2 linked regions of the Drosophila melanogaster genome follow. The protein of the gene in region 2 interacts with the protein of the main gene of each other region in a pairwise test. Each region holds a gene or a part of one and is shown on either strand. Other genes may lie near its edges.

What was found. Proteins that work in one complex are often made in the same cells at the same time.
Region 1: the proteins of CG15124 (region 2) and Zw10 interact in a two-hybrid assay, tested with the Drosophila melanogaster proteins (one large-scale study listed by BioGRID).

The regions. Positions count from the first base shown.
Region 1 is NC_004354.4:2,602,197-2,607,495, reverse strand, and holds Zw10 (Zeste-white 10), read right to left. Parts: upstream 3,300-5,299; 5' UTR 3,194-3,299; coding exon 1,844-3,193; intron 1,783-1,843; coding exon 967-1,782; 3' UTR 672-966; downstream 1-671. Other genes in the region: Smyd3 (SET and MYND domain containing, class 3), read left to right, coding at 1-234, 300-670; Klp3A (Kinesin-like protein at 3A), read left to right, coding at 3,898-4,577, 4,651-4,802, 4,874-5,299. UniProt on the Drosophila melanogaster protein: Essential component of the mitotic checkpoint, which prevents cells from prematurely exiting mitosis. Required for the assembly of the dynein-dynactin, Mad2 complexes and spindly/CG15415 onto kinetochores.
Region 2 is NT_033778.4:19,636,247-19,647,438, reverse strand, and holds CG15124 (uncharacterized protein), read right to left. Parts: upstream 4,493-11,192; 5' UTR 4,402-4,492; coding exon 3,826-4,401; 3' UTR 3,741-3,825; downstream 1-3,740. Other genes in the region: CG15905 (uncharacterized protein), read left to right, coding at 1-71, 160-686, 775-850; CG43277 (uncharacterized protein), read right to left, coding at 9,570-9,722; CG18367 (uncharacterized protein), read right to left, coding at 10,141-10,209, 10,567-10,779.

The DNA.
Region 1 (5,299 bases), on a different chromosome or scaffold from region 2:
ACCTCAAGGAGCACTACTACTTCCTATGCGTGTGCAGCAAGTGCACGGATGCCAAGGAATCGAAGGAGATGCTGGCTGCCCTGTGTCCCAATCGCAACTGCGGTGCGGGAATCAGTGTGGACCGCAATAATTGCCCGCGATGCGATGCCGGCATCAGTCCCAAGTTGAGAAATGCCTTCAACGAGGCGATGACTCTGACCCGGCACAATCTGGAGAACATGAAGGACGTGGCCTGTGAGTAGATGCGACGAAATGGAATTAGCTCCATAATAAGCACATTTTCACTCTCTCGATCACAGATCTCGATGTGTGCAAGGTGTGTCTGGACAAGCAGACTGGCGTGTTCCATCCCCTGAATGTGTGGTACGTCAAGACGCTCGATGCGGCCTTCGAAGCAGCCATCGAAGTGGGCAAGTGGAGCGACGCCCTGGATTACGGGCAACGTTTGCTGCCAGGCTTTCGAAAATACCACGGACCCTGGAATCCGCTATTGGGCCTGCTTCACATGAAGCTGGGCAAGATTCAGCTCTACGAGGGCCATTCCAAGGAGGCACTGCACCATCTGGAGGAGGCCCAACGCATCCTAACCGTCACCCACGGCCGAGATCACAGACTGCTTACTGAGCAGCTATACATGCTCGTTCTACAAGCGCGACAAGAGGCGCACTAATGGGATTTAGTTGTTTTTATTCATTTAAATAAGTCTTAAGTTAAATATTGTGTTGCGTTGCGGGAAGAATGGAATGGATTTTTGTGGATAATTACTTTTCTATGTACAACAGAAACCATTCGGAGAATTAAAGATTATCAAATTCTATTACTTTTGGCATTTGTGGTAAACAATTCAAGGAATTAAAGTAAGGACACATTGATGGTGATCATCAAATTTAGACTCCGTTTACCACCTCAAATGTGATGTCTATCCGCCGTTCAACATTCCTCGCTCGCAAAAAAGGCGCACGCGCCCTATACAATCTGCGTAATGGCCTTGGCCCGCCAATCCGTATCCTGGAACAACGCCCTGATTAGGTGCTTTATCTCATCCGACTTGTAGCTGGCGGTCAGCGGGCCGACGCCGTCGCCCCACAGCTCTGTGATCTCCATGAGCGACGCGTTCAGCATGGCCTTCAGTTGCTGCAGCTTAAGCCAAGAGAGCACCTGGACCACCTCGTTTGGTTCGCGGAAAAGCGTGGGCGCCCGCTGGAGCACCACGTCAATGAGATCGCTCAGCTCACAGGCCATCTGTGCGGAAATGTCGCGCAGCGTGAACACTCGACGGATTAGCTCGGCGACAAATGTGTTGATTAGCTCGCAGAAGGTTGCATTGTACACGGTCTCCGGGAGCACATTGGCCCACACGTTCTTCAGCAGCTCCAGCTGGCGAAGGCACTGACGCACCAGCTTCAGTGGACCAGAGCCCAGCGTGTGCGTGCTCTCGAACTCGAACTCCTGCATGATGCCCATCAGGATGGAGGATTGGTAGTCGACCTGCACGCGGAAATGCTGCTGACCGGTGGCCTGCAGTGTCTTGGCCAGCGCCGCCAAGCTTTCGATGCCCTTGTTCGCATGCTGCGCTACCCAGTGTGTGAAGAACATACAATTGTTGTGGAACAGGACGGCCTGCTGTGGAATGCTCTCGAGCAGCTTGCGGTGCACCTTGGGCACCTCATTGATGTAGGTGTGCAGCATGATGGAAATGACGCCGGCTATGGGATCGGCCTCTTGGTCGCCCAGTTTATCCGTGGGCTGGCGAAGAATGCGGTCCATTAGTTTGACAAAGTCCTGCCGGCGAAAATGAATCCATTAGTGCGTAATCAATCGTTTCGTTTAGCGAACGACTTACCTGAGCACTTTTCGAGATCATGCAGCGTGGGAAGAGGAAGGGATCGTTTGCCACTTCGGCTGAGTGGTTGTTGGGCGCCACCAGCACCATGTCCTGCAGATCGCGCTGGATGATCTCCCGCGCCGTTTCCAGAACTCGACGATACATCCGATTGCGGTAGTAGGTCTCGTACTTCTCTACAAACTGCCCTAGGGCTCGATCTTGCTCGGGATTGATGATGAATGAGTCTACAAGCAGCTGCTCCAGCTGGGCGACATCCTCACACAGCGTGGATGTCTGATACTCCTCCGTGCTTTCGGGCACAGCTGGTATCAGGCACTCGTCCACCAGTAATTTCAGCATTTTATCCTTCACATGATCGCCAATAATGCCAAAAACATGTTGGTCCCTGGACACACTGCAGTTGATCCCGGCCAGCGTGTGCAGCAGCAGCCTGAGGTTCTCCAAGACCTGCTTGTAGTTCGGGCGAAGCTGCGCTGAGCTGGGCTCCTTGGTGGCGTAGGAAAGCGACAATCGAACGTAGGTGCCACCATCGGCTTCTTCGCTGTAATCGGCCATCACTGGGCGCATGATCACCGGTTCTATGCAATTGTCCAGCAGGAATTCGCAGAGGCGCGCCGGATTGTAGGGCTCCTGGAAGAGAGCCTGCACAATATCCTGCAGCTGCGTTTGATCCCGGCTCACCTGCAAGGTGACGCAACGCGATGTGGGAAAGGATTTGCACTGCAGCTGCACCAGGCGATCGAAGCGCTCCTGGAGGCTCTGCTGCAGCATATATGCCTGTACATGGTATTTCACCTTGATGGTCTCGTAGCACTCGAGAGCCTTAAAGATGCGTCGAACCTCTGGCGTGGCCACCTGCGCGTCCCCGTCAACGGAATCATCGCCATAGATGAAAGCCCTCAAACGACCGACAAGGTCCAGTAACACCAAGTAATCCTTGGTGGCCTTGGCCTCCTCCACGCACTGGAACAGCTCGTCGATCCTTAGCACATGCTCGCTGACACCCAGACCCAAAAGGATCTCTCGCAGCTGCCTGCCGTTACCCGCCATCTTGACATTCGCCTCGTCCAAGGCGTCCAGTCCCTCGGAACCCAAGTTCTCGAGCATGTCGTGAATCTCGCGATTCAAGGACCCCGACTCCTCCAGAAATATGTCCGGCGACGTGTTGTTGGGCAAAAACTCCGTGTAGTTGTCTTCGATGTGCTTGCGGACGCGCATCTGGAAGCGATTAACGCGCGTCAGCACTTTTAATATGGCCGATTGGGTGGCCTCCACGTTGGCGCACCCGTTCCCATTGCCGTTGAACGCCTCCTCCAGCACATTGAACCGCGGCGCCTCTTCCTCCATGTCCTGCTCTTTGACCAGATCCTCCTTTTCCAATTCTTGCGAAACCCAAGACAACTGGTTTCTGCAATTCCCTGTTGCTACCAACGATTGTTCAAAAAAGCGATAGATATGTGCGGCTGTCTGCTATCGGCTATCGGCGAATTGGCTAGTTGACAAGAATTGGGCTCTTATCACTGGCAGTAGCTAAAATAGTTGTAGATCTAGGTAGCTTTTATTTTTATGTATAAGTATGTAGATACACTGTCAATGATTCATTTTGTCAAATCGGCGTGCACAAATCGTCCAACCACATTTTTGCAAATGTGCTATTCAAGAGCCAAATTATAAAAAAATCGAAATCTTTCTACACCGGCACCTCCGTCGATCGCGCCACTAATCGACATCTGCAACGAATCGATAACAACGCCATTTTTAAAAATACTGGCAGAAATGCATTTGCTTCTTAGCGTCGCGTTTCATTAGTTTAGTTCCTTGATCCAAAAATCGAATTCATTGAGAGTGCCGGGCTGCGCGTGGAGAAGCCGCGTTGCTCCAAAATCTAGACCAACCAAAATTCTAAGTTTTTGTAAGTGCTAACCAGTTGATCAGTTAACCAAAGTCGGACTTGCTGTGCCCCAGAGAAGGTAAGTGGTTGGTGGTGTTGGTCGAGATGGCGGTAAAGGTGATGGAATGTTATGATTGTCCTTCCCTCCCCCTACCCCCAGATGTCCAGCGAGGATCCCAGCTGTGTGGCAGTGGCCTTGCGCGTGCGCCCCTTGGTGCAGTCCGAGTTGGATCGCGGCTGCCGGATTGCCGTCGAACGATCGGCGGATGGAGCGCCACAGGTTACAGTCAACCGGAATGAGTCGTATACGTACAACTATGTCTTCGACATTGACGACTCGCAAAAGGATCTATTCGAGACGTGTGTACAGGCCAAAGTGAAAAAGCTGTTAAATGGCTATAACGTAACAATCTTGGCATATGGACAAACGGGTTCCGGAAAGACCTACACTATGGGCACCGCCTTCAACGGAGTGTTAGATGACCATGTGGGCGTTATACCACGCGCCGTTCATGATATATTCACAGCCATTGCGGAAATGCAGAGCGAATTTCGTTTTGCTGTCACATGCTCTTTTGTGGAGCTCTACCAGGAGCAGTTCTATGACCTTTTTTCGTCGAAAACTCGGGACAAGGCCACCGTAGACATCAGGGAGGTCAAGAACCGTATTATCATGCCGGGCCTCACCGAGCTAGTGGTCACATCCGCCCAGCAAGTGACCGATCATCTGATCCGCGGCTCAGCCGGACGGGCTGTGGCCGCCACGGCTATGAATGAAACCTCTTCAAGATCCCATGCCATATTCACATTGACGCTAGTAGCCACCAAGCTGGACGGCAAGTATGTTGTGGGCCGCCATCACCTCGTTAGAATACTTAATGCTTATACACATTTGACCTCCAATCTCCGATAGGCAATCCGTTACCACGTCCAGGTTCAACCTGGTGGATCTGGCTGGTTCTGAACGCTGCTCAAAGACCCTAGCCAGCGGCGATCGGTTCAAAGAGGGTGTGAACATCAATAAGGGTCTTCTGGCCCTGGGCAACGTGATCAATGCCCTGGGATGTGAGTATCTATCATTTAGCCACTGGCTTGAAAATTGATCTCCATTTTTATATATTCCATATAAATTGCAGCTGGCCAGGCCGCTGGCTACATACCCTATCGCCAGTCCAAGCTGACGCGTCTGCTGCAGGACTCCCTGGGCGGTAATTCCATTACGCTGATGATTGCTTGCGTCAGTCCCGCCGACTACAACGTGGCCGAGACATTGAGCACCCTACGCTATGCGGATCGAGCACTGCAAATCAAAAACAAGCCAGTGGTCAATCTCGATCCGCATGCGGCGGAGGTTAATATGCTGAAGGACGTCATCCAAAAGCTGCGTGTAGAGCTATTGTCGGGCGGCAAGATGAGCAGTTCCTTAATTAGCGCTGTTGGAGCCGCAGGCTTGGGTGCCATTCCCTGTGAGGAGTCACTAGCTGGTTCAATGGCCAATGCAGCCGAGATCCAGCGGCTTAAGGAACAGGTGCGCACCCTGCAGGACAGGAATAGGAAATTAC
Region 2 (11,192 bases):
GCAGATTCAACATCCACGTTAGCATCAAGGATGTGGCCATCATCGAGGTGGGCCAGAATGGACTGGCCGAGGTGAGTGGGGGCCCGAAAACCAGTTAACCGATATGCAGCTAACGAGTTGCCAGCGAGCTAAAAATAACATCTTCGATCTCTCAATTAGGAGACGTATAACGATGAGGAGGATTACTACTATGATGACAGTGCGTTGACCGTCAAACCGATCAAGCTAACTACAGGGACCAGTAGCACCACAACAACGAGCACCACATCGGCCACCCTGCCAGAGAGCACTGTATCTACAGTGGCTCCTACTACCGAAGCCACGCAGCTGAATACAAGCTTAAATCTGTTGGCTGACATTGCGGCCAGTGGTATAACGAAGCCCAAGTCCAGACTAAACAATCTGATGATTGTAGAGACGCCAATCGGCGGTCTAACGAAGCCCTTGCACCACCCACTTCATGCTCGATCCAAGGATATACCCAGTATGGCTGCAGCGGCACCAACTGCTTTAATTACGCCACCCACTTTGCGCGAGAACATTGAGTACACGCCGCCCAAAGGTCACAACTCGCCCATTTTCAAGGTGAAAGTTCAACGATCTTCGGTGCCGGCTACCAAGAAACCCGCTCGCTGCCGAAATCATCAGGTGCGAGATGCCCAGGGCAAGTGCACCGACTCGATCTAGTAAGTCTAAATGTATACAAAATGACCACTAAGCCGCTTACCAATCGTCTAACTTTTTACTATCCGTATCTCTCATTCTCTTCGATAGCAGAAAGCTGTACAGCATGCTGATGGGGATGAATTTTCCTTTTTTGGCAGCCGCAAATGCCGCAGAAAGTGCTTGATGACTTAACAGTTTTAACTACCATATAGTTTAACTCAGACATAGAGTTTAAGTGCCACTAATTGGATCTTAGCCATTGGCGTGAAATACATTGACTGAAAGCCAGTAAATTAAAGAGTTTACTCACTTTTGTTTGAACTTAATAGTGCAAGAATATTCATTAAAGTAAGACTTGTGATTTTCGTTGAGAATTTGGCAAGCAAAGGAAAGTTAAGAAGCTTATGGTGTTTTAAATTAAAAGTTTTAGCATACATTTGTTTAACGTCTGCATATTACCGTAGAAGGTATTTATAACTGATTTTTCATGCGTTCGTCATGAAAAGGCAGTTAAATTTAAATCAACTCTTAATTGAAAACAAATTTCCGTTTGACTGAAAAACCCTTTCAATGTTGACTGTCAGTGGAAATTTAAAATTGTAAAAGTTTTTACATCCCTTATTAATAGTTTTGTTATTTCTTTATTTTTTTGCAAATTGCGAACGTCAGTTGATGAATTGCGTTTAATTGGTTAATGGAGAAATGAATTGCATTCCGATTTCATATGTGCTGGCACTCGGATTTCTTTGGCCATGCTGGAGTCCCAGGCGTAAGCCAATTTTTCACCTTATATAACCAGATTTTTATTACTGCCATATGCCATATGCCAGGGCCACACATGTGCACAGGTTTTGCTTTATCAATTTGAGTTTGTAATTTCCGCATGCGCTTAAAATGCAATTGCAGCTGAAACGGCATTGTTTTACGTTAATATGTGTATCTGTGAGTGGGGGTGTGCACTACTGTGACTACGCCTGTATTTGTGTGGGGACATCTGTGTGCGAAGGCTGCTTAATTGCAACTGTTGCGTGTGCGGCAAATCTTTGGGGTCGCACTGTGCACTCGCCGTGCTCTAATTAAATTAATTGCTTAATTTAAAGTTAATTTGCCACATGTGGCAACCTCTCCTCGTTGTCCTCTCTGGCCAGACAAAGCACGCACACGTGTCCTGGATCGCTTGGTCCTGCCTGCAGACGCTCGAAATCTCTCGGATTGCCCATAAACTGGTCAGCTATATACCCGAAACAATTGCATTATTCCGATGTCGTTGTGCGTGGCTTTAATCGAGTTTAAACCGAATGCACAGCAAGGCCTATACATGCTATTTCAGTTAGCCAAGAGTGCATATCACTGTATGGGCTTTAATGTGCTCCACCTGAAAGTCATTCCATGTATATTCAGCAGATTCCACAAAGCACTAAATCATATTGCTAAGGATAATAGTGTGCTAAAATGTGAACCACTTTGGTGTTTAACGCTAATCAGGGTGAGTAAAATAATAATATAGTCAATATGTAACTTAAATTCAAGCGGTGCCTTTACCACCTAGCAAATTATACTAAGACTGGAATCATTCTCAATTAAGGTGTTTTTTTTAATTGAAATTCGTTTGCTAAATATAATTCATTGTTATCCAATCTCATACATAGATTTTCCGGACACGACGGCAACTTATGCAATTGACAAAAGCCCATCCTGGGCAACTTTGTGCCGGAATCTTTTTGGCAAAGTTGGCTCACACTAATTACCAACATTAGGCCACCTGCACAGACTAGGCACACTCAATTAGCAACTGTAAACTGCAATTTCTATGCTGGCCAAGTGAGTTTTGGCCAGAAACAGCAGCAACAGCAGCCGGTTAGTCCAAGTCTTTGGCAACTTTGTCGTTTTCGTTGTTCGCTGCATTATTTATGCCACCTCCTTGACCTTTCGCCTTGATGTCGCTGCCTGTTCGAGGAGCATAAACTACGCCGGGCCGTTAAATGCGATGGTTTGTCAAATTAAAGCGGTGCCAAGTAAGCTAGAGTAGCTGGGAGAGCTGGTAAAGCGGATGTGGAACCTCCACGAAAACGCACACAATGCAACAACTTTTCCAACCGGAAGTGAAGCAGACGCCCAGCAACTGAGGCAGCGAAAGTGAGCGCGGAATTGGATGTTCGGCTATAACGGATGCGGGGCGCCATCTTGCTGTTGTTCGCAAACATGGCGGCAAAAGCCCAGAGCCAAAAAGCCAATCCCCCCTTCTGACCAACGCACTGCCATCTATGTAGCTTTTGTGACGCAACAATTGCATTTTATTTATTGCATAACTAGCGGTGTTTATGCGTCGGAGAGTGGATAGCAACAAGACGGAAAAAGAATGGGAAACAAGTAAGAGTGGCCAGGACCTGAAATAGAACCATTCTGCCTCTCGTAAAAGCGAATCCCCTTGCATACATACATACATACCCGCAGTTCAGCATAATAATTACAATCGCTATCAGCGCCGACATTTCACGATGAAAAACTGCATTGGCACGCAACCTGTTGTTGGCTTCCTGCTCCGGTTCCCAGCTAACTGAACACTCAGAGAAAATATTAGTAACTTGCCAGCAAATGGTATTAAAAATACTACCTGAACGGGACACGTAACTCAAGACTATTCTATATAGAGTTTAAAACTCTTGGGACATTTTTTTGAGATCTTTTTGAAACCTTTAAAATTTTTTTTGCTGTGCAGCTACAGATTCAACTCCCCAGGTCCAGCTAAGCGCTGGCTAAGAGAGGAGATGCCTGAGCACACTGTCCAGGACCAGGTCCCTCCTTTAACAGGTCCTAACTATGCAAAGCCATGAAACGCAAGTGTCGCAGGGATTATTCATGGACGGGGAATGAAGATGAAGCGGCCAGCGGGCTGTCAGTGACAGGTAAACGGAGAAAAGGGAAACGGAAGGACACGAAGCAGGAAAAGTCGAGGGGGAAAAAAGATTCCTAGGGATAGGATTTAAGAGAGGAGCACATTACTTAAGGCTAATTTCATTGCTGGAAATTCAACTATTCAATCTCGGAGAGGTGTAATAAAACATTTTGTATTTGCTTTCGCGATAAATATTTATTTTCCAGAATAGTGCGATAATAATTGCATATGAGTGAAACATGTAAAGTTTAAAACAGTCCAAATTAAAAAGTCTTTTTGACGCCTTGGCCGGAACAATGGATGTTGCTTGTCTTATTCTGCCTCTGAGTCTTATGCCAATCCATGATAAAGTCTTTGTTGATCTGGGCGACCCTCTCCAAATAGGCGACACTGCCCATGTCGCTGTCCAAAGCCAGGATTTCGCAATAAAGCGAGCTCAGCTTTATATTGCAACGTTCTACGGCGTCAGACAATTCGACTTCTCTGATTTCCGTCTCGTCTAGGAAATGCAATTTAACTTTCTCCTGATTGGTCACAAAACGAGTCCCTGCACCGGGCTTTTTGATCTCCGAATGCAAATCCAGCAGATACTTCTTAAGCTCTTGCAACGCTGCCATTTTCAGAAGAAGTCTGTCCTTTATGACTTTAAGTGCCTTGCGACATTGCTCTGCAGACACTTCCTGGCGTTTGATTAATTCAGCAATAGAGACATTGGAGTTTTTAGGTTCGGACATGAAAACCTTTATACTGTAAATGGGACGGATATTGTGCAGAGTTATGTTCGGTAAGTCCTTGCAGCTGATTAAGTCTGTAAAGTCGAGCATATTGTCGTTATCCATTCTAATTGATATCAAATTTTAACTTATTTTTCTAGCGGTTTATTTTAATAATTTAAATTTATACGAAGTTTCTCAGAAAGCAATATATGCAATGACTACTTTCCAAAAAAATGCTTTGCTATGTGATCGTTTAATTTCCCTTGTTAATTTCGTATATATAACCAATTTTAAGTTTCCTTTTTTCATGTTTCGTCATCAGCAAACGATGAATTTCTATGGATTCACTTTTAAACTTTTTATCCATCGCAATTTTATTTCATTTTTATTTGCGCTTTTTGCGATTTTTATATGCACTAAAAGTCAATTTATTCACTTGACTTAATTTGATTTCAACCTTCAAATAATCCAATAGAGTTTTTGTGCAGTCGTCCTTCACGGTTGCACCTTGAAAAAGGAGTTATTTCTGTTTTGCTGAAAGGATTGTTTACTTAAATGATTGTCAATTTATAAAAAAGTAGGGATCATGATAAAATAAATAATTCGACAACGATTGTTTAAATGTATATTATCTCATACATGTTTTGATTGCATTCTGTGAACAAAAAATTGTTCCGAAAAGCTAAATTAAATTACCTGTTCATCCTTGTATAATATTACTCATACGCAGTGGATGCCCGGGCCATTGATTTAAATTCAAGAAACTCACGAGCAACAGAAGTTCGAGAGAAGCTGCCGCAATCTCAACTGCCTCATTGTTAACCCGCACTCAATTTCGATTCCCAATATGCTCCACATAACCGAGAGTAGGGCTCGATTCTCTATGCCGGTAATCGTACGTGTGGAAAAGACGTCAGCACTGATTGCTGCATAAATGATTGAGCATGTGTGGTTGTGTGCGCCTGTCTTTCAATCCACATCGATGTGTGCGCTTGTGTAGGGCTGGAATGACTTGCCACAGACGAATCCCACTCACTATCAGCATTCCTCCATGCAACAGGACCTGCATCCCAGCGAAAAGGATGGGGTTGCATTATATGAAAATTGATGGGAAATGCCAAAATATTTAAATCTAATTTTGTGCCAGGCTGACAGGCAGCCAGCATTCGCCGAAGCCGCAGGCATTGCATTTGATTTTGATTCCCGTCCAGTTTTGCCAGCGTATTTGGCGACTTTTGCCCTGGCGAGCATTTAAATATTCAATACGATTATATTTTTAAACACGTAGCCTGGGGAAAAAAAGCCCTGACTGAACGACGGTGAAGAGTCAAATGGAAAAGGAAACTTTATTCAAAAGAAAAAATAAGAGAATATTCCTTGATGAAATAGGATTTTTTCTTTTGGAGTCGATTTTCATTTAACCCGATCAGATTTATTTTCATTTTAAATTGCAGTGAATATAGTTCTTTATGGTGCTAAAGATAATTTTTTATGCACGCTCAAAGTCCTTTAAGAAAAATGTTAATCCCAAGCAAATGAAAAATGAAATGACTTCAAAATTACTTGTCATTTTTGTTACATCAATGAGTGTGGCGAGTAAACAAAACTAAGCAATTTATATTATGAGTGTTAATAAAATATTTATAATATTTTATAAAATCTATGGTTATATTTTAAATAATATGTATCATATATATAAAAGGAAGCCTTAAGCTTTCCAGCCATATTAGTGGGAAACGTGTCCACCATTCACGGTCAACCATTTCCTTACGTTTGCTTCCTGACGCGCTTGAACAGAACTTAAAATAGAATTTAAATACCGGCAAATTGTCTGCCTTGGCACCTGTCTGCCCATTCTGCCCAGGACACCCATTGTCATCCCAAGACCCCCGCCCAACACCATTTTTCGGCCATCCAGCCAGCCAACCGTCCAACGATCCAGCGTCATTCGCATTTGCTATTTCCGTTTTGCACGGCCGTGTTGCTGTGTTGGCATTTCATTTAGCGCACAACTTCACATTTGCCTCAGTCGTTGTCTTTCTGCTGCCTTTTCCCATCGCTTGCAATTGCCATTTCCGCTTCCTGAAATTTGCCATTCGTTACACACAGAAGGACACGCCGACACACATACACAGACAGGCACACATACACACACGTGCGAAAAGGGAAGCACTGAAACCGAAACTTAAACAGAAACAGAAGCAGAAAGCCGCTCCCCGCATGCACCGACATTTTCATTTCCATGCTTGGGCGCATCGCAGCGAATCAATTATTCATCATCATCGATTAAGTGGGGGGAGCTATCTGGCCCCCAAACAGCCCGTCGCCCATCCGCCAGCCGCCAACCGCCTCTGTCCTTCCGTCCCGTCACACTTTTATTGTTATGATTTCTGCCGTCTGTAATGGGCACACTTAAAGGACTCCAGCGACCAGGAGGAGCAACAGAGAGCAGAAAAGCGCCAGGATAAAGACAATGGACGGGCTCTCACGTTCGCTGGCTGCTCCATTTCGCGTGAATTTTACCCTCATTTCGCCGGCTTTTCATACGCTGTAATCGGCAGGCAAAAGGAGTATCTAACATTTTGGTTATGCCGATTTCCGGAAATAATATTTCAATTATTTTGTAAATCATTATGGCATTTCACTTATTTTCCTAACTAATTTTTGTAGTTTATAAAACACAAATCGACAAAATTTAAAAAAAATGATCAACTTTTAAGCAATTCTTGTAAGCCAATAAATCACAAGGTAAGCAAAAAAGTCGATACCACTCATCCACCTTCCCTCTTCGTTTTATTTGTGTTGTAATTTTAATGAGAATCACTGGGCCTTGGGCCGAAACTAAAAGCTGAGATTGCCGAACACACACTCGGGGAAATGCCCACATATGTTATGCTGACATATCAATACGGTGGGTTGGTGGGTGAAGTGCCTGTATGAGAGGGGCACATATATATCTACACAAACAAAACAATACATCGAGAACGGAGATGGTGCGGAAAATGGTAGTGGGAATGGGTAGAAGCAGACGGACGGCCATTTCCCTGCCCTCTCATCATGCCGATGTGTCTTGCTCCTTGCGCTTATTTTCGCCATTATCCATTAAATATTTATGAAAATTGCTTTTGCTGCAGTTTTATTCACTTTCCTGCTTCACTTTGCATGCGTCGCGTCGAGCACACACAGATCCTCAGCTGAATGGCAAAGACGAGGGGCCAGTAAAACAATAAAGCTTAAGATTTCAATTTCCTTACGGCTTAAAGCTGACTCTTGGTTTTGGTTTTGGCCAACCCTCCCGCAGCGTCGCTCTCAACCTCTTGTGTGCTATTCCTGGCTCATAAATCCTGGCAGGACATGTGCCTAGATAATCCAACATTATGAAAAAGCCAGGCCACAATAAATATTCGCATCAATGGCGCCGTTTTTAATAGCCAAATCTTAAACGAGCTGCAGGGCTCTCCATAATGAAATATGGCCTCAGAAATGCCAGATAATTCCTTCATACATACTTGTTAGTGAACTGAAATCATCTTGATATTGTAATTACTTCAATAACACAAATATAAGCTACCAAGCTAAACGCTAGTTTTTCCTTAAATAAAGCACATTAAACTCATATTTTCGGGACTCTGATAAGAGAAGCAATTCTAACATTTCTAACATGGGTTGTTATTAAGATGCATTGTACCTTTAATTTCATTACAGTTTAAGATTGACTGTTTTTAAAGACGTATAATAAATTTCAGAGCTTTGTCTTAATTGCATTCCATCTCCAGCCCAGCGTTTTGACCTGGAAATTCTTTTGGTGTCGACACTTGATCCTTTGGCATTCCGGGGCCAATTTCCGCACGCATTTCGCCATTCCGGCTGTTTAACTCATCACCTACCGTGACACCTGGCGATGATTTTCCGGCTGGCACACGTAGCAGCTATCTAAATTTCAATTAGAGTTTAAACCACCCGCACCGGAAGAGCTGAGCTCCCGTGGCGTGTTCCAGAAACCTGGTAACTTCTGCCCCACCAGCCCACTGGAAATAACTCAGCTCATTAGTTGCATGTTCATGTGCGGCAGCATTTTTTGCCGAGCTTAAATCACTAGGTGGCTGCCAGTTGAAGAAGGTAAGTAACGTGGCACCCCCCACTATTACATCTCGAGTATATTTACAATATACATTTTTCTGCATTTTTTTTTTAAAGGGGGTACAGGTACTTTTTTGAAAATGGCGCATCATAAATTTGTTGAGAGGGATTTGGTTCGGGGTATCTGGGCAGGTTTTCCTCTTGAGTAACGATACTTAATAAACCCGCATCATTTTCCCATTTGGTGCTCGCACTTCGCACGATCCCCTGCCCCAGAACCATCGAGATGCCACTTCCACTTCCTGTTCCTTTTGCTGCTCCCAAATTACCTGTCATTTCGAAATTATGATACCAAGGAATCGCTGGTGGCTATGGATGTTCTGCCCCCTGGTAAGACAGCTTCCTGAGGATGCAGGAACAATTTTTATGTTTATGGCAAAAAGCGACGCCTAATTTTATTTTCTTTGCCGCGGGGCCGGATGCCTTCCCGACACACATATCTCAAACTAATGCCAAAAACGGGCAGAATGTAAAACCTTATGCGCATTTTCCGATTGTAATCTCTAAGTAGGATGGGCGTATGTATCATTTTGTGGAATCATCCGGCTCCAACTTGCCTGTCAACAGGCCTCACACATGGTTTTTTACTCAAAGTAACATGACAGCTCGATGATATTCCCCCAAAGTGGACATTTTCAGCAAGGTGCCGGAGTAAACATGGCATCCGGAAAATGGCTAATATGAGATTTACTTTTTGCCAAAAGCTGACAACTCAGACTTTGATTGGTCGCAAGGACTTGAGTTGTGTCATAAACCAAATGAAAGTCACAAAGGCCACTAAGGATGAGCTAAAGTCCATGAAGCAAAGGCTTGTTTATTATAAAAAAAAATGGAAAGTATTCTTAAAGTTAATTTAAAATTGCATGCCAATCAATGGAAATTTGGCACAGTGTACGACGCTCGTCGATTTCATATTTATTTTAGATTCCAGCTGCCATGATTTGTTTTTGGTCAAATTTTTAAAAAACTATAAACTTGTGAACTTAATTTTTGTTGTTTTATTTAAGTCAACAAGTAAACGAATATACCAGCTAAATTTAAAGCGTTTGAGTCATCCTGATTTCTTTCGCTCCTTCGTCGACGACAATTTGGTTAGATGACTGGCAATATGATCCTATATTCAATTAGTTATAGGTCTAAATTTCGGGTTTCTAGCTGCTGGCCGGCAACTTTCCATCGAGGCTTCGGACCAGGAGGACACCGGCACAGAATGCCAGGGAACACTTGACGAATGACCAGGAATGATAGTCCCTGTAAACGGCCTTACACCACTCCATCGGTTTCAGCTGTGACCAAGGTGACATATTAGAGCCTGAAAAATTTGCAGCGGAACGAACCTAATGGATCGGGAGAATTGTGGCGGGAATGGCAATGAATTTCGATTTAATCTGGCTGGATTACTTACCAATTTGCGGCGTTGACGTGATGTGTACACCCCCGTCGGTTGGTATACTTGGAAAATATTTGTTTTATCTGCTGCCCAGGTATATAGAGCAGAAACGAATGGCAATTTCATGACACACTTGCTCAAAAGAATTTCTGATTTTGGTTTTTGCGTATACATTTTTCAGAAATGCAAACGAGCAAGTGGGTCAAGACAGCCAGCCAGCGGGCAGATGTGTTGATTTGGCAAGCTTGTTAATTAGCCAAGAAATTTATTTGCGAACCATACACACTAACTTATTTACGATAAACAGATTAACTTATGCCCCATGTGCATATTCACTTCACGGAGCTGCTAAAGTTCTTCTCATTACTCAGGCACTGATTGCAAATGGTACAGAAGATTTGCTGGAATGATACAAATTGCCTTTTAATGGGAAACAAATTTGACCAAAGAAATTATAAAATTAAATAACTAGTAGGGGCTAGACCACATAAGGTATTCCATTTGCTAGTAAGATGTACCGAGCGTTCCTTTCTTTTTACTTGCTGAATGAAGTCGAACTATATGCACCACGTCTTTAAAGTTCTTATAGATTTATCAGAGAATCTTTAATTAATAGTCCGAATCATTTACAGTTAAAGACTTGAATTCAATATTTATAGAACAAATCATTAAAAAAAAAGTATAGCCTACAACTTTATACTTTTGGAGCGTTACAGTTCATCTCTATTCCCCTTACTGGGTCTGAATACTTCACTTACAGGCAGCGAGGATCGTGCATATCCTCCACAACCTCCTTGCGAGGATCCTGTGCTCTCGAAGTGTCTCAGCCATGACTTGATGACATTCGTCGGCGGCGTTTGGTAAATGCTGAACTGCTTCTTGAAGAGCCGCTGGGCGGTGCTGATGGAGTCATTGCTCTTGTAGTAGGCGCGTATGACGAACGCCCGGTGCACACCCGTCCACTGATCCATTCCGAATGCAACTGGCGCCGCCGAGGGAGATCGAAAATGCCATGTGCCATGTGCCCACTGGCATCGCTGGTGCGACAGTTTTCGCTAGCACTTCCGGCTCACGGTCGTCGTAAAAAAGCGGCGCTCGTTGCCCCAATGCTACATACAAATATTGTGTACAAAAAATATTCCAACATTCATAATTATTTGAACGAAATTAATTGGTCGTACCGCGAGGGGGGAGTGAGCCGAAGGTGGGGGTGCTATATGTGGTGCATCGTTGATGGTCTAAAATTATACACCGCACGACGGCTGACGCGGCGTATGAGCAATCTGAATTTCTTCTTGTTAGGAATTCATTCGCGGCCGGCCGTGCGCTTAAGTTTCAAGTGCAAATTGAGGGGGCACCATCCCAGCGCTCGCGACCAATCCTT